7 linked regions of the Nothobranchius furzeri genome follow. The protein of the gene in region 1 purifies or fractionates together with the protein of each later gene. This does not show direct contact. Links are inferred from orthologs where the notes say so. Each region holds a gene or a part of one and is shown in the gene's direction. Other genes may lie near its edges. The genes, in order: hnrnpub, heterogeneous nuclear ribonucleoprotein R, gtf2f1, heterogeneous nuclear ribonucleoprotein D0, igf2bp3, rfc4 and rps29.

Region 1 (4,003 bases):
ATGCATACATACATACATGCGTACATACATACATACATGCATACATACATACATACATACATACATACATACATGCATGCATGCATGCATACATACATGCATACATACATACATACATACATACATACATACATACATACATACATACATACATACATACATACATACATACATACATACATACATGCGTACATACATACATACGTACATACATACATACAAACATACATGCGTACATACATACATACGTACATACATACATACATACATGCGTACATACATACATACATACAAACATACATACATACATACGTACATACATACATACAAACATACATACGTACGTGCGTACATACATACATACATACATACATACATACATACGTACATACATACATACAAACATACATGCGTACATACATACATACGTACATACATACATACATACATACATACATGCGTACATACATACATACATACATACATACATACATACATACATACGTACGTACGTACGTACATACATACATACATACATACATACATACATACATACATACATACATACATACATACATACATACGTGGTGCCTTGCAAAGGTATTCATACCCTCTGAACTTCTACATATTTTGACCACAAACTTCAATATTTTTATTGATATTTTCTTTGCTAGATCAACATAAAAAAGCACATAAGTGTGAAATGAAACATGGTTTTCAAAAATTTTAAGCAAATAAAAATATGAAAGTGTGTTGTGCATTTGTATTCAGCCCCCTGCATAAATACTTTGTGGACTCATCTTTTGCTGCAATTACAGCTGAATGGCTTTGGGGGGTGTCTCTTTGGGTTATGTCCCTACCAGCTTTCCACATCTAGAGCCTGAATGTTTTGCCCTTTGTTCAAGCAACAGGCGCAATAAAGGTAGAGGCAACAAAACACAGCTTGAAGCAGATGGTGTGATTAGATAGATTATTGATAATGAGTTGTTATTAGTCTACCTGGTCATCTGTAAATGATGTAAGGGGTTTGACAGTCTTGTTTTAGGTGCCCCGTTTAAACTTGGGGCACCCGTCTCTCATCTCTGCACTGCCCTGTTCTTGTTCCAGTTTTAATACCGTGGTGGCTCTGGCTCGACTGTGCTGCTTTTAGGATCATTACGGTAGTGGTTAGCGCTCTGCTCCCCCTCCCGCCGCCGAGGCTGGCTCATCAGCTCCCTCTCCGTTGGTGAAAGGTTGGATCGCGCGTAACGTTTGGCGTCGTTTCGAGCAACATCTACTAACAAAGTGCACGTTATTGTTTATTTGTCGACGTATTTTAGTAGTTTGTCGTTAAACGTCCACAATGAGCACGATTAACGTGAAGAAGCTTAAAGTAAACGAGCTAAAAGACGAGCTCAAGAAACGAAACCTATCAGACAAGGGGCTGAAGGCCGATCTGATGGACCGCTTGCAGGCCGCGCTGGACGAGGAGGCCCTCGCTGGAGACTCGGCCGCTCAGGATGTGGCGACGGACGAGCAGGCCGCGGACATCCAGGAGGGTATGGGGGAGGAAGAAGAAGGCCCGGTAGAGGAGAGCATGGAGGCCAACGAGGGAGAAGAGCCGGCGAATGACGGCGACGGGAACGGTGTGTCGGTGGACGAGGAGATGGGTGAGGGGGAAGAGGAAGGTGACGAGGAGGACGAGATGGATCCCATGCTAAAGGAGGATGTAGACGACATGGAGAAAATTGACACAGAAGATGGTGAGCCCGGCGATCACGCTACTGAGGGTGAGAAGAAACAATACGCTATGAAAATGATTTGTTGGATGAACCGTGGCTGGGTGTCATTTTGTGGGGGGAGGTGGGAACTGTAGCGTAGATTTGAATGCTTTTCCGTAAGGGAGGGGTAGCCGGTTGTTACCGCTTATCATGGCGTCCATGTTGAGTCAGTCAGCGTGATTCAGGCTAGTTAGCATTAGCCAACGCCTTGGTTACAATAATTTAAATGTACGATTCTCTAACCCAGTTTACCAACGGATAGTAGGTTAATTGACACGGACTAACTAAGGAACATGCTTATAAATAATTCTTAAGAAATTAATTTGTTATTTTTCTCTTGTGTCGCTTGATAGTAGCACGCTAGTTAGCATCGTTTTTCCTTTGTATCGGTCTGCGCTAGCTAGCCGTGTTAGCCATTTCAGAGGTTCCCATCACGCTTTAGTCGGTTTTCCTCTCGCCAAGGCTTCATCTGGACTACGTTTGATCAGCTCTAGTTCAGAACTACAGCACGTAGACGAGGCGGGAGGGGGCTAAAGTAATTCTTTAATACATATAAAAACTAAAACGTGTTCTGTTTTCAGAACAGGATCAGTTCTTACGTGCTCCAGTCGCAAAAACACAAATTACTGAAGACAATTTTAGTTTTTAGATTTTTTTAATGAGTGGGTCCAAACGTGGTCTAAATCCCCCATGCGTTACATTTTCTACCTCTGATCAACTAGGAGTGGCACACATTACTGATGAAGTTTTCTACAAGGACCGCTTCTGATCTGGTCCAGAGATCAGCAAGGCACCAGAGTCTGTCACCTTGCTTCATATGACTGGTTCTGATGTGGTCCCGTTATCAATAACACTTTAGTCTTACTGAATGATTAACGGTTTCACAAACTCCATTTGGTAGCACTTTTAGCTTTTAGCAAGGTTCACATCCCAGCTCCAGCCTTTCTGCATGGAGTTAGCTTGTTCTCCGCGTGCATGTGTGGGTTTCCATGGTTTCCTTCCGCAGGTCAGTGCATGTCAGCTTCAAACTGTTAGTCCAGATGTCTGCGTGTTTTTGGGCTGGACCACTTTGAGTTGCCCATAAGAACTAAATTGTCCCAGTCTTGGACTGTATGTGATTGATTAAATTATTAAAGATTCTATCTAGTGTAGACGAGTGAAGTCCAGAATCGTGTTTAGCCGGATCAAAAGCCAACACTAGCATCAGGTCTGGTTATGAGGTGCAGATGTTTGAAGGAAGAGCCTCAGCAGGCTGATGTAAAAGACCTGAAGCTGTATTTGGGTGTTAGTTTGGGTTATGAGCTTGGGAACCTCTGAACTTGCTAACCCAGCGCTTTGCAGAAGAACGGAGTGGCCTACAACTTTCCTGATACGTCCATCGTGTGTTTTCGATTTGAAATACAAGCGTGATATTAAAGGGTATACATACATTTTTATTTACATATCATCCTTTTCTTTAGCGGGGGGTGTCATTGGGCTTTAGGTAGGTTTCCCTGCATGGTTAACTCCCCCTGATGCAGTAGACCCTCATCTAGGACTAGAGGACTTGTATCTGAAGGGTTCTTACCCTTTCACGACCCCTTTTCCAGCCCCATCAAGCTCTGCTGCTGCTGTTCATTTGGGCCAGTTCATGCTGTAATTACTACCTGGTCTTACCAGTTGTTACAAGTCATGTAATATGATTGTACTGTTTTAAATGTAACTATGAGGTGTTTCCTCTTGGTAATCATGCTAGACGCAATGTAAATAATGAACGGGCTTCGTGGGCCAGAACCCCACTGCCAGTCCGACCTCTCTCTCTCTCAAAAAGGAGCACCTCATTCTATATCTTTGTTCTATTTTCAAAGGAGATGCGGACAAAGACACGAATGCTGATCAGAAGAATAAGAAGGGTGTTAAGAGACGCCGGGAGGAACATGGAAGGGGCTACTTTGAATTTATTGAAGAGAACAAATACAGCTGGTAAGGATGGGACAGAGCCGAGGTGGCCTTCAGCATCCCTGAAGCGCCATCCAAGCTTTGTTGAACTGTATTGGCTTTAAGTGCCAATGCACATAACTAGCAAGAGGTAAAGCCTCGTTTGAAGTATTCTATCATATATTTATGATATAACCTTTCACACATGTGTTTGAGGGTCATCCCTGAATAGCTAAAGCCTTACCATTTACCTTTTTACACTCACATTGTGTCTTTAACGACTGCATTCTGTAGCAGAAGTGCATCTATCAATCTCATATCTGTTC
Region 2 (4,027 bases), on another chromosome or scaffold:
CCATCTGGGACCTCAGGTTAATGATGGACCCCCTGTCTGGTCAGAACAGAGGTTATGCTTTCATCACATACTGCAATAAAGATGACGCACAAAAGGCTGTGAAGCTAGTAAGTCTTACTCTATAATACAAAAAAAACACTAGTCAAATTTCAGTTCCTAATAACACAAGAACATTTATATAAAGGGATACTTTGCAACTTTTTCGTAGTTTTAAAATAATTTTCATGAGCCAGTATGTGCTAAAATGACCTTTTACAGGCTCTAATTTCCCTCTGGGGTTAATAAAGTATTATTGAATTGAATTAATGAAAGGCCACTCAGCTCCTATTGTGACCAAAATATTCCACTTTCAACTTCTGATTCGTGGGCTGCTCTGTTGGGATTTTAAAAAATGTAGCTGAAATACCTGGCACTGCAGTCTGGTTCCAGCACATTTCCTGCATGTTTTAGATCATGAACACAGCCGATTTGTTAAGTTTAGTGATGAGTCACTCCTGTAGACACTAATGAAGGATGAGGAGACATTTCAACATTTCGATTAAGGTGTTAAAAAGACAAATGCACAGCGAGGAAATAGGTTTTGCTTTCGGTTCGACAAACGAACACTGGGGGGTGCTAAAAGCCAGCAAAACTGCCTAGTTCCCCTTTAAGATAGTAGCTAGTTCACTTTATTAAAGATACATGTAAGCCCATAGCAAAAGATGGATAATTGTGTTTTATAAGAAATTCCGTGTCTGTTGTGTGAAATTTTTTTTACCTTTCTTATTTGTTTTCAGTGTGATAACCATGAAATTCGCCCTGGCAAGTACTTGGGAGTTTGTATATCTGTTGCAAACAATCGCTTGTTTGTTGGATCCATTCCCAAGAACAAGACACGGGAAAGTATACTGGAGGACTTTGGGAAAGTGACAGGTTTGTTTTGAGTGCAGTTATAGATTTTATCAAACCAATCTTGACAATACTGGAAGGCTTGTTTTTTTTCACCCCACAGAGGGTCTGCAGGATGTGATACTGTATCACCAGCCAGATGACAAGAAGAAAAACCGCGGTTTCTGTTTTCTGGAGTACGAGGATCACAAGTCTGCAGCACAGGCACGTCGCCGCCTAATGAGTGGGAAGGTCAAAGTGTGGGGCAACCCTGTGACAGTGGAGTGGGCTGACCCTGTTGCTGAACCAGACCCAGAAGTCATGGCCAAGGTCAGTAGTCCATGTTTTCTTCAGAAAATCATTCCCCAGCTCCCAGCGTTAAAAATAGGGATGTGTATCGATGAAAATCTGGCGATACGATACGAATCACAATACAGGGTAGACAATACGATGTATTGTGATACATTCGGCCAGACATTATTAGCAAGTTTTTTAGATTGAATTTATTGTAGGAAAATTCAATAAACAGTCCAAACTGATACGTAACATGTTTAACATGAGGTATCTGAACCATAGTAGAGGGATTTAAATTTCAGAGGTGGCAACAAAACCCATTGCACACTGCTGCTGGCTAGTGGTCAGCATTTGAATTGCACCAAAAGAAAAGAAAGTAAACAAATGTTTGCATGCAAATTCTTCCAGAAACTTCATACACGGCTTTTGAATATCGATGTAATATTGCAGGAAATAATATAGCAATATATTGCTGTTTCGATATTTTCTTATGTTCCTAAATAAAAGACTAAATTGTTTTCTGTGATCTTAGGTAAAAGTGCTTTTTGTCAGGAAGCTGGCTACAGCTGTGACTGAAGAACTTCTGGAGAAAACCTTCTCCCAGTTTGGGAAGCTGGAACGGGTGAAAAAGTTGAAAGACTATGCTTTTGTCCATTTTGAAGATAGGGATGCTGCTGTAAAGGTGGGTTTTTTTATGAAATAATCAGCGTAATACTAGTGCGTCATGTTTCTCGGTACTTGACAGTGATGGTTTGCTCTTTGACAGGCTATGGATGAGATGAATGGGAAGGAGCTTGGAGGTGAGGTAATTGAGATTGTTTTGGCAAAGCCCCCAGACAAGAAAAGGAAAGAGCGCCAAGCAGCTCGGCAGACCACCAGGAGTGGCGGGTGAGCCTAAATGGAAACATGTGGTTGGTCAGTTGCCCAGAACAACATATTCATGAAATTTTCATCCTGCAGGTATGATGACTACTACTACTACCCACCTCCACGCATGCCATCACTAGGCAGAGGAAGGGGTCGTGGTGGCCGGGGAGGCTATGCCTATCCACCTGATTACTATGGCTATGACGATTACTATGACGATTACTATGGCTACGATTATCACGACTACCGCGGTGGCTATGAGGACCCTTACTACGGCTATGAAGATGTGTACAGCATGAGGAGTCGTGGTACTCGCCCCAGCAGGGGTGGACCTCCACCACCTAGGGCTCGCGGGGCTCCAACAGCACGAGGTCGGGGTGGCTTTGCACAAAGGGGGCCACCCCTTGGAGGTCCACGTGGCGCTCGAGGAGGACGTGGAACCCCTTTCCAACCTCAGAGGGGCCGTGGTCCTCGCGGTGCCAGGGGTAATCGTGGCGGGAACGTTGGCGGAAAGAGGAAGGCAGATGTGTTTACCCAGCCCGACTCCAAGCGCCGCCAGACCAACAACCAGCAGAACTGGGGGTCCCAGCCCATCGCCCAGCAGCCCTTGCAGCAGGGGGCCGACTATTCCGGTAACTATGGTTACAGTAATGACACCATGGAGTTTTCACAGGATTCTTATGGGCAACAGTGGAAGTAGATGCACCAAAAGGTATTTGGCAACGACAACAAAAAAAGAGGAAAACAACAATAAAAAGAAAAAAAAAATCAGGAGATTGGCCACAATTTTTGATTGACTTTTTATTCTTCATCACGTGTGAAAAAAAAAGATCTGTACGTATCTCAGAAAAAATGGACACACTGCAGAATTGGCTCAAGATGATTGGCTGGAAATGTTTTTGGCTGAAGAAATGAACGTACCCCTTGAGGTGAATCATTTCTTCCTGCTACAGTCTCATTTGGACGTGTCTTTACAAAAATTGCAAAAAATTTACGCTTTTATTGTTACTTTTTGTTCCTGTTTTTTTTAAAACCAACAAAGAACGTTAACAAAAAAAAGTGGACATTCGTTTTAAAATATCTGAGAGGACGTCAAAAAATGCATATGTCCTTAAGTTTTTTGTCCATGTCCCCCTCCCCATTCTTGTACTCCCTTAATTTGTGGTTTCTTGTAGTTGCTTAGGGATTTGCTTGTAAATAAATGCATATCGTTATAGCTTCATACATCATTTTTTGCGAGGGTGGAGAAAAGAATCCACAAGAAGGAAGAAATCAAAGTTTTGTATTGTTCGAAGTGTATGCATAGCATTTCTAGAGATAGACGAATTGTGTTTATTTGTTTTTTTAACTGATACCATAACTTCCTTGTTTTCATTAAACTTGCCCGGTAGAATTTGGTTTGGCTGACCTTAAGAGCCATAGCAGTTTGTTCTCTGATGTTATTTGTATTTATAACTTTTCCGTTTTGTTCAGTTTCAATAAAACTCAGCTGAGCATCAGTCAATTGTCAAATACTCAAATTCAGTGTTTGTCCTTCACTACTTGATTTGATCCATAACCTCCAATTGTCACATTCGGAAGATCTTTTTTGTCAAATTTTGTCAGCAGTGCAAAAGACTAAAGAACTAGAGAGTTCTGCTTGTCGAGTTGGATTTGAACCCTTTATTCTTCAGTGTTTCGCCCAAATGGCTGTGATCCCCTTACAAGAACACTCATCCTGTAAAGGTGACCGCTACCATTCTCATAGGTTGTTCCCATTTCAGTAGAGCTAATGCTCCTTCAGTAAATGTCTTCAGCCACTAGGAAAATACTCAGTGTACTTTATATTTAATACAAAATTCACAACACTGTTTTCACGTGGATGTAGTTGGAGATTGGCTGACATCTATTAAAGCTTTCACTAAAATTTTAAAAGTAAGAACAAGTTTGGAAAATAGTGAGTTGTCACTTCAACCCTAATAAGTTGACACACTCACCTGGCCTTTCCATTGGATTCGTA
Region 3 (3,804 bases), on another chromosome or scaffold:
TAAATGTATTTACCTACTTATCAACTTACTGCATTCGACTCGTCTTAACTCCTCATCTAGAATCTTCTGGTGCTGATCCGTGGCTGACGACAGCTGTTCAGAGCGGACATGTTTGTTATGAAACATGCTGTTCCCGCATGTGACCACAGAATGCTGTTGCTACTTTATGCACTTTAAGTAGAGAAAAGTCTCAAACTTCCACTATTTTCTGGTACAACTATCATTTATGACACAGTGTCATTAGAGATGCACTGATTTTGATAACAAGGCTTGTGTGTGTGTGTGTCTTTCTTTTAGAAATGGTTGTGTGTTCATGTGTTATTTTCTTTCCCAACAGCCCAGATGAAGACCAAGTTAACGAGAAACCCACCAGAGAGGAAGAGCATCCTAAAGGTTGGTGTGAGACGATACTGGTATTCTCCTGCAGGAGTTTTGTTTGTTTCTCATTGAAGTAATTTGTCTGTTTGCAGGAATCGATGAGGAATCAGAGAGCGAGGAAGAGAGCGAAGAGGAGAAGAAGAATGAAGAAGAAGCAAAGGAGGAGGAAGAGGAGGAGGAAGGGAAGAAAACCCCTGTTCAGGTGGAAAAGAAGAAGAAGAAAGGTATGAACTTCACGAGTGATGTTACGACCCCTCCTGTCTGAAAGGAGTAACTCAGAAAATTAAAATAAAAGGAATGCACCAAGGTCTTAGCAACAATTTGATGTTTGTTATAACAAAGGTTCACTCAAAGTAGAAGAGGCACTGCAGTATAACAGACAAAGCAAGTCTCCTGTATCCAATATTAATTGTGACATTTAACCCACTGGGAGAAAACTATCTCAACTCATTAACTAAACACACATGCTGGATAAACGCACAGCAGAACTGGTGGAAAACTGGGTTAAACACTGAAGGGGAACTAAATCTAAAGAAACTGTTGTCTTAAAGACATCAATTAACTAAGCGATCTCTATACTACGAGTTATTCTAATAACAGACAAGCCACAACCAAGGGGATGACGGAGAAGATCTGTGCCCCCTTTTAAAGGCTTGAGCTGTCTAGATGCAGATTCCTGCAGCAGCGTGTCGCTCTCCCTGGTGCTGAAAGTGGAGGCTGGAACTGAGCTGGAGAGGAGAGTGGCAGCTTGCAGGTGCTGTGCAAGGTTCTGACTCAGGAGAAACTTACAGGAGCTGTAGCAAATTACAATTTCTTTTGGGTTTAGATTTTAAAGATGGCTGAGTTCCGGGGTCAATTATTTCTTTTTGTTCGTGACAGACAGCAGCGGCGAATCAGACAGCTCCGATGACAGCGACATCGAGGGAGAGACGGCCTCTGCTCTGTTCATGGTGTGTGTGTGTGTGTGTGTGTGTGTGTGTGTGTGTGTGTGTGTGTGTGTGTGTGTGTGTGTGTGTGGGAAAGAGTTCTGCTTTAAATTACAGCTCAGTTAGTCATTCATTGACACATTATGACCTAGGGGTGGGAAATTTAACCTGTTTTTTATGCATCGCGATCGAGACAAAGATTCTGACTGCATTTTAAAATGTAAAAAATGATGTTAATTGTAATAATAAGAGCGGGTAGGAACATATAACCCCAGTTTAACACTAGAAGCATCAGCAGCACGAAACGGTTTACTTGCAAACTTCAATGCGGTCCTCTTCACACGGGGAGAGTCTTGGCCGTGGTACGTCTTCCTTCCTGTGCTCCTCGCTGGACTCGCGGGATCACAAAATCTCTCGAGATTTCAAAGATCACGGTTTGTTTATGCAATCTGCCATTAAACCAAAAAGAAAAAAATCACATTTGATATCGCTGTTTGATGTCATATATGATGTTTTTCTCTCCATAGTCAGGATTAAAGCCATGAAAACACACCGCTGCACTTCTGGAACGATACTGGGAGTAAATAAGACGTTGGGTCACACGTAAGCTTCATATATATGACATTGCATCGTTTCAGTACTTTTATTTTGAAAATTACCCGGGATTTTACACTGAAACCATGTGTGATTTCCTGTCTAGCCTTATGTTCACTGCGGGAATTGACGCATCCCAGAAGCGGCTCGTGGCAAAAATAGAAACCAATCTTTAGCGGCGCAGCGTGCCGCTTCTGGGACGCTCCTGAAAATTGTCGCATCGTGGCTGGTTTCAAACACTCCATAGACAAAAGATTTTATTTGAAGCAGTGACGTTCCGCGCCTCTGATGCTTTCAGTGTGAAACCGGTGTAAGACGGGACATAAATCTGGGTCATAATGGAACCACGAGGAGCTGATAGATTCCCACCCCCTACTACTTAAGTCGAGTGTTTGAGTCTAAATGAAGTTGTGAATATTTCTTTTTTTTGCTGCATATTTGCTTTCATTTTTATTATTTTTAAATTGCTCTTTGCAGAAGAAGCGAACTCCTCCTAAGCGTGCAGGCGGTCGTGGCTCTGCAGGAAGCTCTAGGACAGGAAGTCGTCCTGGAACTCCATCAATCGACTCCGCCTCCACCTCCAACACTCTGCGGGCTGCTGCTAGCAAGCTGGAGCAAGGTGTGTGTGCCTGTAGATTAGCACAAATACGGAAATCGGTCACAAATACCATGTCAACGATGAGAATAATTTATTTTCTTTGATCCTTAAGGGAGGATTTGTGTTTAATTAAATCTCTCTCTCTCCTGTAGGGAAGAGGCAGGGAGCTGCTGCAGACTCCCCAGCTGCTAAAAGGCTAAAGATGGAGCCCAGCACTCAGAGTCCTGTTCCCTCTGGGAAGAGCACACCCCAGCCCCCATCAGGCAAATCCACCCCCAGCTCAAGGTAAGTACCATCAGAAAACAGAAAGAAATAAATCCGTTTATTAGGCTTAAATCAAAATCTAAAACTCTGCAAACTGCTAAAAAACCCTGACTTTATTTATTTATCCCCCGCTACAGTGACGTCCAGCTAACGGAGGACGCGGTCCGCCGCTACCTGATCCGTAAACCGATGACCACGAAGGACCTGCTGAAGAAGTTCCAGACTAAACGGACGGGTCTGAGCAGTGAGCAGACGGTCAACGTGCTGGCTCAGATTTTGAAGCGCCTCAATCCAGAGCGCAAAAATGTCAACGACAAAATGCATTTCTACCTTACAGAGTGAGCAGGTGGGTGGTGCAGCAGAGGAGGGGTGGGGTCTGGAGGGAAGTTTGATGCAGCAGGACTTGAGCTGTGCAGAAACGCCAGCGGCTCTGAACGTATTCTGTTCAACATGTTGAGTTTGTTTAGTCTGAACTTTTGCTGAGTGACAGTTTAAGAGTCGAAATAAAAATCTTAGAGCTTCTTTCAAAATGAAAGGAAACATCTTTAGCTTGTTTTTCTTGAGTTGGAACTTTTATAATGAAATTGAAACCCTGAAAAGTGATTTCCTCTTGCTCTTCTGTCACATTCAGCATCTCTGCACATTAAAGCAGAAATTCTCAGAGAGCACCATCTAGAGGTGGAAAAATGTATCGCATCTTAAGCCCCTCTCCCACGCCATGTTCGTGAACACGCACCTCTAGCCAACCAACAGCTAAAACACATTTTTCTAAGATTATTCTCCTGTAAAGCTGTTTATTCATATTTTTATATTTTAAATACTCACCCACAAGAAATGTTACCAACTCTGCATCAGTCTGCAAACGCTCAGTGATGCAGGTTAAGTACAGATGTGACATCTGTATATAAGAGGATGCCTAATGCTATTGACTAATGAGCAGTCATCATTTCAAATCGCACAAGGCTCTACAGACTCTTAAAAATTGACACATGACCTACATTATCATACAACCGGGTAAGACGATCACTTTTATGTGTTTCTAAA
Region 4 (3,500 bases), on another chromosome or scaffold:
CCACACTTGACTTGAGCACTGTACAAGTCAACCTTAAAAAATATGTATTTGAAATAAATAGCCACTTTAAACAAATTACTAAAATAACTACTACACTATGTAATCAAATCCAAATGTTCAAGTATAAATGGCATTGAATAAGTAAACAAATCAAATTGACAAGGAACTAATTGTATATTTCTCTTCATCATCAACAAATAAGATGCTTCATCCAGCAACAGGGTGTCCGTGACACGGTTTAAATGCTGGCAGAGGACGCTGCGGCTGCAGTCTATAGTGACTCGTTGCATTCTCCCTCAGCCAAAAGTCCTCACGTCATGCATTTGAGCTAAAATGCTAATGTTAACTTACCTTGCACTGGCTGTAGAGACGTGGGTGATGGTCACGCAGATGTGCCATTAGATTCGAAGTGTTGCTGCCTTTTGCAGACACTTGTTTCCTGCACGTTCTGCAAACGGGATAGCCGTCTTCTATTAACTGTCCCTCAGCATTTTTCAGAAATCCAAAATATGCCCATACTTCCGATTTAGTCTTCTTTGAGGGCTGATGGATGTCCTGGGCGCTGCCGTCTCCTCCTTCGGCCATTATTTCAGCTTCAAAGTTTTGGTGCCGTTGCAAACTAAAAAGTGCGTGTGCGCGCCGCGGGAACTTCAGCTGAAGCGACGGTGGCTGGTAAGGGTCACCGCGCCGAAACCGCGGCCACGGTAAACCCACCGAGATAATTTAGTTTTTTAAAAACTGGACGGTTATTTTTATTGTCAACTTTTTTACCGGGGTTTACCGCTATACCGGTTACCGTGACAACCCTAGAGGAGACCCAAAGGGATGACCCAGGACACAGTTGGAAGAACTACATTTTCAGCTGGTCAAGGAACACCTTGGGATTCCCCTAAAGGAGCTGGCCCAAGTGGCTGGGGAGAGGGAAGGGTGGGCCTCTCTGCTTAGGCTGCTGACCCCCAGATGGCAGATGGAGGGGTGGGAAAAATGCAAGCTGCTCTTCACAGACACTGATTTTTATATTTCCTGACCCATTTGTTTCATTAATAGGAAGATGTTTGTGGGAGGCCTCAGCTGGGACACCACTAAAAAGGACCTGAAGGATTACTTCTCAAAGTTTGGGGAGGTTGTTGACTGCACATTAAAACTGGACCCCATGACTGGTCGATCAAGGGGTTTCGGCTTTGTACTTTTCAAAGAACCGGAAAGTGTTGAAAAGGTACGGTCCTTCTTTTATTTTAATGCTGCAAAACAATAAGTGTGGAGCAGGAGGTTAATCTAGAGTTTATTGAATGATACTCCTTTATTTCATGCCTCAAGCGTATTCATCAGCAGGAGGCACTCCTTCTAGAAATGAACCATTTTCCAACAGAAAGCTTCTGTGCTTCTAGATCATTTGCAACCTTTGCAATCCAAAGAACTTTTCTCCTCAGTCCACCTTAATAAAACTTGTTTAGAGCTGCAAATGTTACAGGATCCTTTTGAGAAGAAACCATTTATAATTCTTGAGTGATGTCTACAGAAGAGAATTAGGGTCACAAAAAACGTTCTTCTTAGAATTCAGAGAGAAAAAATTGGAATTATGAGATTAAAATTGGAAATTAGAATTTTTCTGAGAGTAAAGTCAAAAATTGTATTTTGTCCTCTTTCGTAAATACCTAGCCTAGAAATGTTGACCAACCGTAGTAGAAGCAAAAGATTTTGGTCTGCAGGTCGGTCTAGTCATGCTCCATGTTGCCTCAGCAGGTCTACAGTTGGCTCGAACATTTGGCTTAATGTAAGAGCTGCAGTGGAGAAAAACTACGAAGATGGCAATGGTTTATAATCTGCGCTTGTTTTCAATGGCTTTGGCATGAACTTTGGAAAATTAGACTTGGGCTTCTCTTTGAGGCATGAGCAGATAGAGGTACAAACAGCATGTGTTTGCTTCTTATGTGTATGGCAGACTGATTTAAGTAGCGATGAATATGTTATATTGTTCGTTGCTCTTATTGGTCCTAGTACTGTCCAGTAGCATGCAGAGGCCGTTTGAAAGACAACTGTAGATCCCGCCCTATGACTGAGCTCTGTCTATGGGTCGTGGTACTACACATATATAGGTTGGGTTGCTGCCAGGATAATAAATATAATAGATTTGTTGTCATTTTTTGAAAGAAAAAATAAAACTTCAATTTATTTCATTATTAGTTTTTTAAAAATTAGATTGAGGGAAAATAAATAAAACTTATAGAGGCGTGAATCTTCACTAGTCTCATGACTCGATTAGATTCAATATCCTGATTCATAACGATTATTTCATATGGGTTTGCTTTCATTGATAAATAGAGGATGACAGATATGTGCTTTTAAAAAATCTGACACAACACACCATCCCCCAAAAGCTCTTCGTTCACAGCAGACTGTAGGATAATGTAAGAGGGTAAAACATTTATAACAAGATAAAAAATCTGTTTCCTCATTCAGTAGTCATGCCTCAGGCTGTGGGAGAAGCATGCTCTGCAGATGCAAAAAACCCAATTGGACATGTCTGTAATTTAGGTTATAAAATCCATAATGGATCCATATATTAGGTTTTAATGTCTTTGAGCTGCTTTAGTCACATGTTTGTGCCAAGGTACAAGGGCGTAAGAAATAAATAACACCAAAGGAAATGTTTGGCTTTGTTTGTTATTTTATTTGAACCCAACGGTCTCATTTCAGAAAAGTTGGAGAGTGGATCAAATTCTGTTCAATGCAGAAAATAATAAAACATAAAAAATCCTATTTCATCACAACATCAGCAGGAGGCTGTAGGTTGAATTAGGATTAAATCACAGCCTACCCAGATGATGGACCACCTTCACTGACCTGACCTGTGTGACCTTTATTATCTCCTCATATCCACGGTGTCTCTGTTGATGTTCGCAGCCCGAAAAACGAACCCTGACAGTTGTTTGATCAAAAGGCCAAACCATCCATAGAACTGTTGATTGACTCTACGTTTAACTGGTTTATTGTTGGCGTTTGTCCTCATGAAGGTTGCATCACAGAAGGAACATAAGCTCAACGGGAAGGTGATCGACCCCAAAAGAGCCAAAGCCATGAAGGCCAAGGAGCCTGTGACGAAGATCTTTGTTGGTGGTCTGTCTCCAGATACTCATGAAGACAAAGTCAGAGAGTACTTCAGTGCTTTTGGAGAGGTGTGACACATACACACACACACACGCCTCACTTTATATTCGTTAAGCTTTTGCTTGCATTTTCCTTTTTAAATAAAACCCAATATATCATGAATGCATTCACTATGATTTAATCAGGTGGAGTTGATTGAACTTCCCATGGAGAACAAAACTAACAAAAGGAGAGGCTTCTGCTTCATCACATTTCTAGAGGAGGAGCCAGTGAAGAAGATTATGGAGAAGAAGTACCACAACATCGGACTCAGCCAGGTGCAATCACTTCATCCAATCAGATTTCATTATATGACTGTACCTTAATGAAGACATAATAAATTAATAATGTTT
Region 5 (3,500 bases), on another chromosome or scaffold:
ATGACAAAATAATCTGAAGGCTTTCCAAAGGAAGAACTAACCATTAAAATCAGTGATGCAATCAGGGCTCTTCTCTTCCGCAGGTTCTGGACGGTATGCTTGCTCAGTACGGTGCAGTAGAGAGCTGTGAACAAGGTAAACTTTTGTTTTTACATCTAGGAGCAAAAGAGGTCATTCTGACTAATATTTACAAAAGACACAAATCCAGTGGCTGCATCTACACACCTTTTCTTGGATGAGTTACTAATGCTGGATGGAGTCTGAGATGGTCAACCTGAAAACATCACCGGAAACCCTTTAGCCTGTTTGTTGATCGCCACTGTTGGAAAAAGTTAAACCATCAAACAAAGGAGGCTGTATTGTCAAAGTGTGTGTGTGCGTGTGTGTGTTCTCTCTCACAGTAAACACTGATACAGAAACTGCCGTTGTCAGTGTTCGATATGCAACCAAGGACCAAGCGAGGCTGTGAGTACACGTCTGCTCTGATGTCTTTGAAACTGTTTGAATTGAACTGCATCCAGTTACCTTCATGTTGTTGAAGCTTGTAGCAGAGGGGAGATAGGGGAGAGTGGTCACATGTTTGTGGATGAGCCTGCTGGAGAGGAAGGGGTTTAAATTAACCATGTAGTGCCCCCTGGTGTACAGAAGTCCAACTACCACGGTGTAGTTGGTGCAGGTCGTTAGTCTCCTAGTGCAGTTGTGTCAAAGGCTGCATTCAGGTCACTGAGCTGTTCTCTAGTAAACAGAACTGGAATGTCTTGCGTTCCCAGTGCGATGGAGAAGCTGAACGGATCCATGATGGAGAACTTCGCCTTGAAAGTGTCTTATATCCCAGATGAAACGGCTGCACCAGAAGGTCCTTCTGCGGGCGGCAGGAGGACCTTCAACTCTCGTGGACCTCCTCGTTCAGGTTCTCCTGGTCTGGGAGCACGGCCCAAAGTCCAGTCAGACATCCCGCTGCGCATGCTGGTCCCCACGCAGTTTGTAGGGGCGATCATCGGCAAGGAGGGCGCCACTATCCGCAACATCACCAAGCAGACCCACTCAAAGTACGTACACGGAGGTCAGGACATAACTGCACATTCAGAAAATCGCTTTTACTGTTCATGTTGGAACGTGCTGACTGGTCGTCCGGTTCTTTACACCAGGATCGACATCCATAGGAAGGAGAACGCAGGTGCAGCGGAGAAGCCCATCACAATCCACTCCACCCCAGAAGGCTGCTCAAACGCTTGCACGACCATCATGGAGATCATGCAGAAGGAAGCCCTCGACACAAAGTTGTGAGTTCAGTGAGCGGCTTGTTTCAACACAAAGATTAGATGTGAGCATCGTGACTGGAGGTTGTGAACGGAGCTGTAGAACATGATGGCTTGGAAGGGTTAAAGATTCCTGAAGGGAGCGTGAGAGCCACCACTAAAACAGATTTTGGGCTCCTAAAAACGGCTAATTTTTAACTAGAAGGACAAAGTAACTCAGACACTTAGGCCCTGTCCACACGTAGCCGGGGATCTGCCAAAACGTAGATATTTTTCTACGTTTTGGCCTGTCATCCACACGAAAACGGAATTTTTTCACACGAAAACGGATCTTTTTAAAAACTCCGGCCAAAGTGAAGATCTGCGTTTTCTCTGTTTTGGGTGTCTGCGTGTGGACGGACAAAACCGGAGTTTTAAGGTCCGCAACGTCACTTTCCGCGACGAAAAAAGTGCTGACATCACGTGCGCGACCTGTGTTTACACTAGCCGACAGCATGGATGCCCTCAGAGCTGCGCTCGCTTTATCAATTGTCCAAGCGTTTTCTGCTTGTTTGTTTTTGCAAGCGGAATTACTGCTCCTTGCGGAAGACCCCAGACGAAGGACGAGGTTAAGAACGGGGGAAGTACTGCCGCCTACAGGTCTGGCATGTCCTTAACAACGTATTTATCCGGGTACGTGTGGACAGAGTTTGTTTTAAAACGCGGTGATGTGGATTCAAGTTTTTGGAGGGGCGGTTATTCGTTTTCAAAAAAACCCGGCTACGTGTGGACTAGGCCTTAAACTTCATTTGTTCTCTCTGTGCTCGGGTGGTGTTTCCTTCTTAGATGAATAGATTTGATCCCAGTGTTGAGTGTTTGATGGTTTGTTACACTGCTCTTGTCGTGCAGCACTGAGGAGATTCCACTGAAGATCCTCGCACACAACAACTTTGTAGGAAGATTAATTGGAAAAGAAGGACGCAACCTGAAGAAAATCGAGCAGGACACGGGGACCAAGATCACCATCTCACCGTGAGACGCCAGGCTGTTGATGCCGCCTTTCTCTGCATCATATGCAGCAAAGTTGTAAGTGAAGCGGCTAAAACGGCACATCTCTGCTCTGATGGCTTGTGTCCAGGTTGCAGGATCTCACCCTCTACAACCCAGAGCGGACTATCACAATAAAGGGCTCCATCGAGGCGTGCTCAAGTGCAGAGCAGGAGGTGATGAAGAAAATCCGGGAGTCGTACGAGAGCGACATGGCTGCTATGAACGTGAGAATTCCTGTTTTCTTTGCAGAGGCGAGAACTCCTCCATCTTAACCTGCATGCTTATCGATGCGTCTGAATTTCTCTGCAGCTCCAGTCCAACCTCATTCCAGGCTTGAATTTGAATGCGTTGGGTTTGTTCCCCAGCGGAGCACCAGGCATGGGTCCTTCAATGTCCAATGTCCCGCCCCCTGGAGCGCTTGGCGGATGTTCGTTTGGTGTAAGTAAGACTTGGTTGTGTTTTCTATTAAGTGGATTGAGAAACTCGTACATTTTTGGGTATGTCTGGTTAAAACGAGAAGTCCAGAGCGACTGGGTTTCACGTGTCCTTTTTCCTCTAGTGCAGTCCTTATGGGGCCGAGGGGCCGTTTTGGGCTTCTGTGCTGTCGGAGAGCAGCCAGCCCCTTGCTGTAAGTCACCCATCCTGAAGCGCTTTGCACGGCTTGTGGCTGCTTGCTGCAGGATTAGGGCTTAGGGTTGGCTGCAGGTTTCTCTAGATGCCTCCTGAAGGTTCATGCAGGTTGTCATGTATCTGTTCAGATGGATGGAGGTGTGTAGGCTCTGAAGGACGTTTATCTTAGCAAGCTAGCTACTTGTTTTTACCAATTCAGTTCCTTTGGGCATATGAGTCTATTAAAGCAACGATAAGCAGACTTTCCACTCCTCCCTCCTAGGTAGAAAGTGGACTTGCAACAGTCGTTAACAGCCCTGCTGTAGTTTGACGCAAACGCAGGAGCGTAGAGACGCACAACGCCATTATTTGTCCCTGTGAGGGCTTTACAGCAGGCTCGCAAGGATGGACGGAGTGGAGCTCACTTTTCTAAACATCGGTCGAACAAGACCAACGCAAGCTTGCGATTGGTCAGGTCGTCACTTTCGTCAACAGCACCGCCATTGTGTCCTTAAAAATGGAGCTGATCATATCTAGACACGGAGAAGCTAGAAGAAAACCTCGCAGAAAAACTACAAATATGAATGTTTTATTTCCCCGTGA
Region 6 (3,411 bases), on another chromosome or scaffold:
CGAAAAATGGTACCGTTAAGTACCGGTATCGATTCGTTGGTACCGGGAATTAGTACCGAATCGATTCAAATGTCAAAGGTACCCATCCCTGCCCATAATGCACAGGTGCATTTATGGAGAAAACTGCTCATACCAGCATGGTAGCAGAGGGCTGATGGTATGGGCTAGTTGATTGTATTTTTAAACCATGACTTCATTGTGATTATTACATAAAGTACAGGTGTTGCTCTTCATTTTAATAAGGTTAGATTTAGTCTGATGCCAAACCCTGAAACACATTTTCTTGTATTTAAGTGGGAAGCCATGTCCTCCTTTCAAGATCATCATCCTGGATGAGGCTGACTCCATGACTGCTCCAGCTCAGGCTGCTCTCAGAAGGACCATGGAGAAGGAGTCTCGCACCACTCGCTTCTGCCTCATCTGTAACTATATAAGCAGGTCCGCAGACTCCCAGCAGGCTCGGCTACGCTCTCTGTTTGACCCTGGTAATGATGTGTGTATGTTTTTTTTAGGATTATTGAACCTCTCACCTCCAGATGTTCCAAGTTTCGTTTTAAACCACTGGCCAATCAGATCCAAGAGAAGCGCCTACTGGAGATTTGTGAAAAAGAGAATCTCAAGTACACCAGCGAGGTAGAGGTGACAGTGTGGGTCTTTCACTCACTCACTGCCAGCCGTTTCCTGATCGCTAACGGCCTTCGCTGCCAGCGTTTCTCACCGTTTTTACAGTTTTTTTAAGAGTCACAGAACGTTGCGCGCTAGCATGATGTCGATGCCAAAACAACCAAAACAAAGCGGAGACTCACCTCTTACATCAGGAAGAAGCCGTGTGTTTCGAGCGTTATCCGTTCTTTCATAATCCGTTGTCGAATTGTGATCGGCAGACGCTTTTCCGGTTCGCGCCTCACTTTTTTTACAGGAACGGCCCAAAACGATCTCCTAACACATGGATGGTCTGCTTCCTGATCATGTGACGTGTGACGTATGCGGATGAAGATCGGCTTCAGGGCTGAGATGTTTGAGCATCAGAACGAGCCCCCGCGCTGAGAGAACAAACAGTAAAAAAATGGCAGTGAATGAGTTAAGAATCCATTAGTGGAGTTGGTCAAATTTAGTGGATTTTTGTTTGTCCACGGCTCAGTGCGCATCTTCTCACTTAAGCTTTTTGGTTTCTCTCAGAGTATAAAAGCTTTGGTGCAGTTATCTGAAGGAGACCTCCGGAAGGCCATCACCTTTCTCCAGAGTGCTGCACGTCTCAGTGCCAACAAGGAAATCACCGATGGTGCCATCACTGAGATTGCAGGGGTCGGTTCCAGCACTTTGTATTTCAGTAGATTAGAAGCACCAATAATGAGCCTTTCCATTAAGGATAATTTAAATGTCTTTTGCATTTGAGAGCACAAACTAGTGTTGTGTGTTCACATGACCCTATCTGCTCTCTCACAGGTCGTCCCGTCCAAGATGATCGACAACTTGATCCAGATTTGTTTAAAGGGAACATTTGAGAGGTTGGAAGTTGCCGTCAGGGTAAACGTTTTTGTTTTTCCTTCGTATTTGTGATGGATGAGTTTGTTTGTTGCTGAGCTACAGTGGTGAGTGATGTGCTTGCTCTGCCTCTTGTGTCTAATGTCTCCTCACTAACAGAACATGGTGGATGAAGGCTATGCAGCCACACAGATCCTGAACCAGCTCCATGAAGCCATCTTGGAGCAGGACATTAATGACAAGCAAAAGTCGGCTATCATGGAGAAGATGGCGGTAGGTATTTTAATGTCCGCAGATGGCAGGAATGAAAACATTTAGACACCTTAGCACCTTAGGGCGCCTGTGGTGGATTCGTAGCTGGACATTTGCAGAAGCCCTCTATTACAGCAGTCCTCCTAAAGCCGGGCGTACACTGTGTGTCTTTTTCACTCGTAGCTCTCAGCTTCAGCTCAAACTGTACGACTTCCTCGCAGGGCAGATCTCACGAGTCATGTGCTCACACTGCACGACCCAGGTCTCGCATGCGATCTGACTGCTCACACTGTACGTCTGGTAGCAACACGTCGGCCCTAAAAATATGCTAAAAATAGCAGTTTTTACTCAACACGTTAGACTTTTTTGTCTTGTTTTGCCTGTTGTCCTTCGGGAGTGCTGCAGGAGGACACACAGGCATTTATGGGGGTTGGATGAGGAAAACAAAATAAAGAAAGTAAATCTGTGTTTTGTGGTCAGTTTAATTTGACATGAACACGACAAACACGCTTTCTTGACAATCTTTGTGAGTGAATTACGTCTAGAAATAAAAACGAACAGCGTGTGTTATTAGGGAAATAGCGGGCGAGCAGTGTTGATGGATGATTGCGCATGCGCCGTGAGCGGTTCTGATACTTTTTGGGTCACAGCTGCTCGCAGCGCCGCTTCAACAGTGCGATACCCTCACGAGGGACGAGCGAAATATTAAACACGCCAGAAGTTTGTGCGAGCTCACGATTGCTGATCGGCAGCTGGTCACGTGGTGTTAATCGCCTCTCGTAACCCCCTGTACACTACACGACGCTCGGCGCAAAACTCACCCCGATCTCGTGGATTCTCGCACGAGTGGAAAATCGGCTCAAAAAAGTGAAAAAGCCGCACAGTGTCCGCCCGGCTTAAGCCTGTGTGTGCTCTCTTCCAGGTCGTAGGGAAGTGCCTGGCAGATGGAGCAGACGAGTACCTGCAGTTGTTGAGTCTGTGTTCAGTCATCATGCAGCAGGCTTCTCAAAGCTAAAGCCCCCCCGCCTGAACCAGCATCTGCCTTTCAAGGATGTTGTTGATAGTTACCATCTACCACCCCCACCTCCCTCATAGAAGTCTTGCCTGAGAAAACATCATATTGTTGAACTATTTGTGTATTTTTTCTAAGTAATAAATGGATTTTGTAATCTTTTGTGTGTTTGTGGTGTTAGTTTCTTGGTTTTCAAACATCAGGAGATGTTTCCTTCATCCGCCTGTGAGGGGAAAAGCTGGAGAAAGAGTCTTCTAAACCAATCTAAACTTTTTTTGTGTTGAGACGCAAACATTTATGCCTGAATGGAAACAGGTGTACACTTGCCTCTGACGTGCTCAGGACGGTCTCCTCTTTTTGAGTCATGCTTTGGTTTGAGTCGTGCATAAACTACTGAGAACTCACTGCTGCCAAACGTATTTTACTACCCAGTATCGGATCTCATTTCATCTCTGAAAAAGTGCCTCAGTGCTGAAAAGAGTGGAAAGAATAAACAGAACAGAAAATGAGCTCAGCTATTTAGTCGATCTTATTTCTCGGCCACAGCAGTTTCACCTTCTAGTAATGGTGGGTATTCATGGACCTTCAGATTTAACACTTCAACCAGTTCCTGTTGACTCTGCCTCTGATGGATGGATGCATGTGATGTCCAGCCCTGCAGG
Region 7 (2,948 bases), about 5.5 Mb from region 1:
TTCCAGCCAAACTCCAAGAATATGATAGAAATATTCATCAAGCTATATAAAAAATAATGAGCAGTGTCCTCAGAGTGTTTAAAATAGGAGAAATTCTGAAGCACAGGACATTATTGGGCACATTTTAGTCTAATAATTCTCCCTGTGCATGCGTGGGTTCTCTCCGGGTACTCCGGCTTCCTCCCACAGTCCAAAAAACATGACAGTTAGGTTAACTGGTCTGTCTAAATTGTCCTTGGGTGTGTGTGTGTGTGTGCATGATTGTTTGTCCTGTGTGTCTCTGTGTTGCCCTGTGATGGACTGACTCTCTGTCCAGGGTGTACCACGCCTCATTGCCCATTGACCGCTGGAGATAGGCACCAGCACCGTAACCCTAACTCTTTTTGAACCCAGATTGGTAAGGGTTTAGCAGACAGTTTTGTGAGAGGTATTCTGTGATCTGCTTGAAAGCCACCCTTTCAATGATTTTTGACAGAAAAGGGAGGAGAGAGATAGATCGGTTGTTCTCCACGTGATTTGGAGGAAGAGATAATTTTTTTTTAGCAGCGGTTTAACCTGAGCATGCTTGAGAGAGATGGGTAATGTACCGGATGTCAGTGAAGTGTTGATCACATGTGTGACTGCTGCGGCTACTGTAGGAGCAATAGCCTGGAGCAGCTTAGTCGGAATGGGGTCGAGTGGGCATGTAGTAGGGCGGCTGCACGTGAGAAGCTTGGACGCACAGTTCTCAATGAGAGGGGAAAAAGAGGAAAATGAAGCAGTCGGGCTTGAGATGGTTGGGCTAGAAGGAGTTTGTGGTAGCGAATGTTCAGGAGTGGCCAGTTGAGTAAACTGTTTGCTTATAGCTGCCACGTTGTCAGTGAAGAATGAGGCAAAGGTCTCAGCTGATAGATTTACTACTGCTACTACTACTACTACTACTTGCCTGTACTTTGCTAATATAACTCTACTTCTAAGATATGTGACTAAAACCAAGCCAGTTTACCAAACGTATAATATGCATCCTTAAAAATGAAGATACACCAGATTTTGCACATTTCAAAACAGTTAAAACCTCTTCTTTATAATAAATGGCATTTTAAATTGGCAATTAATATCTAAATAGAAATCACTTGACACGAGTCATAGTCAGAATTCTCTATTGAAAAAAAATAATAACCAAAAATGTAACTTCTCAAATCTGTATCCACCATTTGAATGCTGTGATATAAACAACTAACTAACTAACTAACTAACTAACTAACTAACTAACTAACTAACTAACTAACTAACTAACTAACTAACTAACTAACTAACTAACTAACTAACTAAAAGTCATTATGACACAAGTGAACGCTGCTGTATGGTTTTGTCGTTCAACGTAATACGCAGTTACTAATTTGACCAGTAGGGGCGCACCTAAAATAGTTCTTACCGGAAATTGAGCCTATGCAAACGTCATTTGCGCATGCGCGTACGTCTTTTCCTCCTTTCCGACACTCGAGCGAAAAGAGGCAAGATGGGCCATCAGCAGCTCTACTGGAGTCACCCTAGAAAGTTCGGCCAGGGATCCCGCTCCTGGTCAGTGTTACTCTTAACCCGTGGATGGTCGCGTGACGCGCTAATGCGAGTGATATTTGTGTGTTTGTTTATGTGTTCTTGTGCGAAAACGGGATCAAAGCTGCACCGCATGGGCTTTCATGGCGAAGCTAATATGGCGGCTTAGGATGAACCTCGCCGCCTCTATTCAGCAACATCATCTGTGTTGTTGGTTCGAAGCGTTTACAATAGTTTATTGTTTTTACTAGACTTTAATGCAAATGACAATGTTAAGACTAGATAAGTAAGTAAGCAATCATCATAAATGTAGCGTAATGTGTTGACCGTTAGCCGGGCTCGCTCTGCTTCCGGATGCTCCAGGTACCTTTTCCAATTTCATAGTCATCTAATCCGTATTCTTGTGTGATTTCAGCCGAGTGTGCTCAAATAGACACGGACTGATCCGTAAATACGGACTCAACATGTGCCGCCAGTGCTTCCGGCAATACGCCAAAGACATCGGCTTCATTAAGGTGAGATTCAGTTTTCACCTTAAAAGCGGAATTCTATTCCACATCACCCTCTACACATGTAAACAAGTGTTGCACAAGTAGTCCATGAAGAAACTGTTCTGTAGCTTCTGTCCAGATAAAAACCACGAGCAGCTGCTCAAGAACAAAATAAATTATAAAATTTCGTAGTAAAAAAAACCCAAATTGGAGTATAACTGTATGAGCAAATTATAATAATTATGATTGTTGTAAACTAATAATTACCTCTGCTCTAATTCTCTTTTTATTTGTTTTCCTACAGCTGGATTAAATGACTCGCATTGACATCCTCTGATCGGGTCATGGCGTCATTAGAAGGCTGACCAAGATGGGAAAAAATTAAACACTTCAAATAAATGTGTTGTTTTTTTTGTCCAGATCATCTGAGTTGTGTGGTTATTCACTGTGATTTTAAATGATGTCCACCATAAAACCTCACTACCTCACATTTTTTGGTTATTTTTAATGGCGTAGTCGGAGACCCGGGCTGGGATAGAAAGGTTTTAGCTGCTCGAAATTCAAAACTTTATTGTCTCAATGTTTGAATACAAGCTTATTTAAAATATGCAAAGTAAAAACACGTAGGAAAGTTTTATTATTTAACACCTCTATATACAAAATCAAGGTGAATCACAAGTACATGTAAAACATGAAAAATAATCATGTACATTAAGGTCCACATTTTTTCTGACAAAACTGTAAAAAGGCTTCCATTGAACAATCTTGAGGTCTGGACTTAATTTGGGCAAATGTCCTTTTAGTTCTGCATTGCAGCAAACCTTGGCATCAACAATATCCAACAGTTTTCTAATCAGTTTCTGGTTATTTTAATTGAACCTCATTTAAAGGCATTTCAGTTTCAATATAAAACACCTGATG

Evidence for each region.
Region 2: the proteins of hnrnpub (region 1) and heterogeneous nuclear ribonucleoprotein R purify together in Homo sapiens (affinity purification with mass spectrometry; 3 studies listed by BioGRID and IntAct, with this or other methods). This does not show direct contact. The link is inferred for Nothobranchius furzeri from reciprocal best matches to the Homo sapiens genes HNRNPU and HNRNPR.
Region 3: the proteins of hnrnpub (region 1) and gtf2f1 purify together in Homo sapiens (affinity purification with western blotting; 3 studies listed by BioGRID, with this or other methods). This does not show direct contact. The link is inferred for Nothobranchius furzeri from reciprocal best matches to the Homo sapiens genes HNRNPU and GTF2F1.
Region 4: the proteins of hnrnpub (region 1) and heterogeneous nuclear ribonucleoprotein D0 purify together in Homo sapiens (affinity purification with mass spectrometry; 4 studies listed by BioGRID and IntAct, with this or other methods). This does not show direct contact. The link is inferred for Nothobranchius furzeri from reciprocal best matches to the Homo sapiens genes HNRNPU and HNRNPD.
Region 5: the proteins of hnrnpub (region 1) and igf2bp3 purify together in Homo sapiens (affinity purification with mass spectrometry; 3 studies listed by BioGRID and IntAct, with this or other methods). This does not show direct contact. The link is inferred for Nothobranchius furzeri from reciprocal best matches to the Homo sapiens genes HNRNPU and IGF2BP3.
Region 6: the proteins of hnrnpub (region 1) and rfc4 fractionate together in Homo sapiens (co-fractionation; 3 studies listed by BioGRID and IntAct, with this or other methods). This does not show direct contact. The link is inferred for Nothobranchius furzeri from reciprocal best matches to the Homo sapiens genes HNRNPU and RFC4.
Region 7: the proteins of hnrnpub (region 1) and rps29 fractionate together in Homo sapiens (co-fractionation; 3 studies listed by BioGRID and IntAct, with this or other methods). This does not show direct contact. The link is inferred for Nothobranchius furzeri from reciprocal best matches to the Homo sapiens genes HNRNPU and RPS29.

Annotation. Positions count from the first base shown.
Region 1 is NC_091742.1:29,998,752-30,002,754, reverse strand, and holds the start of hnrnpub (heterogeneous nuclear ribonucleoprotein Ub), read left to right. Parts: upstream 1-1,203; 5' UTR 1,204-1,342; coding exon 1,343-1,769; intron 1,770-3,607; coding exon 3,608-3,722; intron 3,723-4,003. UniProt on the Homo sapiens protein: DNA- and RNA-binding protein involved in several cellular processes such as nuclear chromatin organization, telomere-length regulation, transcription, mRNA alternative splicing and stability, Xist-mediated transcriptional silencing and mitotic cell progression.
Region 2 is NC_091759.1:6,948,558-6,952,584, reverse strand, and holds the end of heterogeneous nuclear ribonucleoprotein R, read left to right. Parts: coding exon 1-107; intron 108-776; coding exon 777-912; intron 913-991; coding exon 992-1,197; intron 1,198-1,693; coding exon 1,694-1,843; intron 1,844-1,927; coding exon 1,928-2,049; intron 2,050-2,121; coding exon 2,122-2,728; 3' UTR 2,729-3,527; downstream 3,528-4,027. UniProt on the Homo sapiens protein: Component of ribonucleosomes, which are complexes of at least 20 other different heterogeneous nuclear ribonucleoproteins (hnRNP). hnRNP play an important role in processing of precursor mRNA in the nucleus.
Region 3 is NC_091752.1:52,158,895-52,162,698, reverse strand, and holds the end of gtf2f1 (general transcription factor IIF subunit 1), read left to right. Parts: intron 1-337; coding exon 338-393; intron 394-470; coding exon 471-602; intron 603-1,257; coding exon 1,258-1,328; intron 1,329-2,375; coding exon 2,376-2,517; intron 2,518-2,648; coding exon 2,649-2,781; intron 2,782-2,897; coding exon 2,898-3,102; 3' UTR 3,103-3,304; downstream 3,305-3,804. UniProt on the Homo sapiens protein: TFIIF is a general transcription initiation factor that binds to RNA polymerase II and helps to recruit it to the initiation complex in collaboration with TFIIB. It promotes transcription elongation.
Region 4 is NC_091746.1:62,885,467-62,888,966, reverse strand, and holds part of heterogeneous nuclear ribonucleoprotein D0, read left to right. Parts: intron 1-1,047; coding exon 1,048-1,216; intron 1,217-3,014; coding exon 3,015-3,176; intron 3,177-3,293; coding exon 3,294-3,425; intron 3,426-3,500. UniProt on the Homo sapiens protein: Binds with high affinity to RNA molecules that contain AU-rich elements (AREs) found within the 3'-UTR of many proto-oncogenes and cytokine mRNAs.
Region 5 is NC_091751.1:26,468,166-26,471,665, reverse strand, and holds part of igf2bp3 (insulin-like growth factor 2 mRNA-binding protein 3), read left to right. Parts: intron 1-83; coding exon 84-135; intron 136-401; coding exon 402-465; intron 466-770; coding exon 771-1,049; intron 1,050-1,148; coding exon 1,149-1,283; intron 1,284-2,147; coding exon 2,148-2,270; intron 2,271-2,376; coding exon 2,377-2,512; intron 2,513-2,597; coding exon 2,598-2,726; intron 2,727-2,847; coding exon 2,848-2,916; intron 2,917-3,500. UniProt on the Homo sapiens protein: RNA-binding factor that may recruit target transcripts to cytoplasmic protein-RNA complexes (mRNPs). This transcript 'caging' into mRNPs allows mRNA transport and transient storage.
Region 6 is NC_091756.1:57,709,074-57,712,484, forward strand, and holds the end of rfc4 (replication factor C subunit 4), read left to right. Parts: intron 1-294; coding exon 295-438; intron 439-512; coding exon 513-633; intron 634-1,179; coding exon 1,180-1,305; intron 1,306-1,446; coding exon 1,447-1,527; intron 1,528-1,644; coding exon 1,645-1,758; intron 1,759-2,659; coding exon 2,660-2,752; 3' UTR 2,753-2,911; downstream 2,912-3,411. UniProt on the Homo sapiens protein: Subunit of the replication factor C (RFC) complex which acts during elongation of primed DNA templates by DNA polymerases delta and epsilon, and is necessary for ATP-dependent loading of proliferating cell nuclear antigen (PCNA) onto primed DNA.
Region 7 is NC_091742.1:24,519,075-24,522,022, reverse strand, and holds rps29 (small ribosomal subunit protein uS14), read left to right. Parts: upstream 1-1,411; 5' UTR 1,412-1,447; coding exon 1,448-1,560; intron 1,561-1,951; coding exon 1,952-2,051; intron 2,052-2,331; coding exon 2,332-2,340; 3' UTR 2,341-2,448; downstream 2,449-2,948. UniProt on the Homo sapiens protein: Component of the small ribosomal subunit. The ribosome is a large ribonucleoprotein complex responsible for the synthesis of proteins in the cell.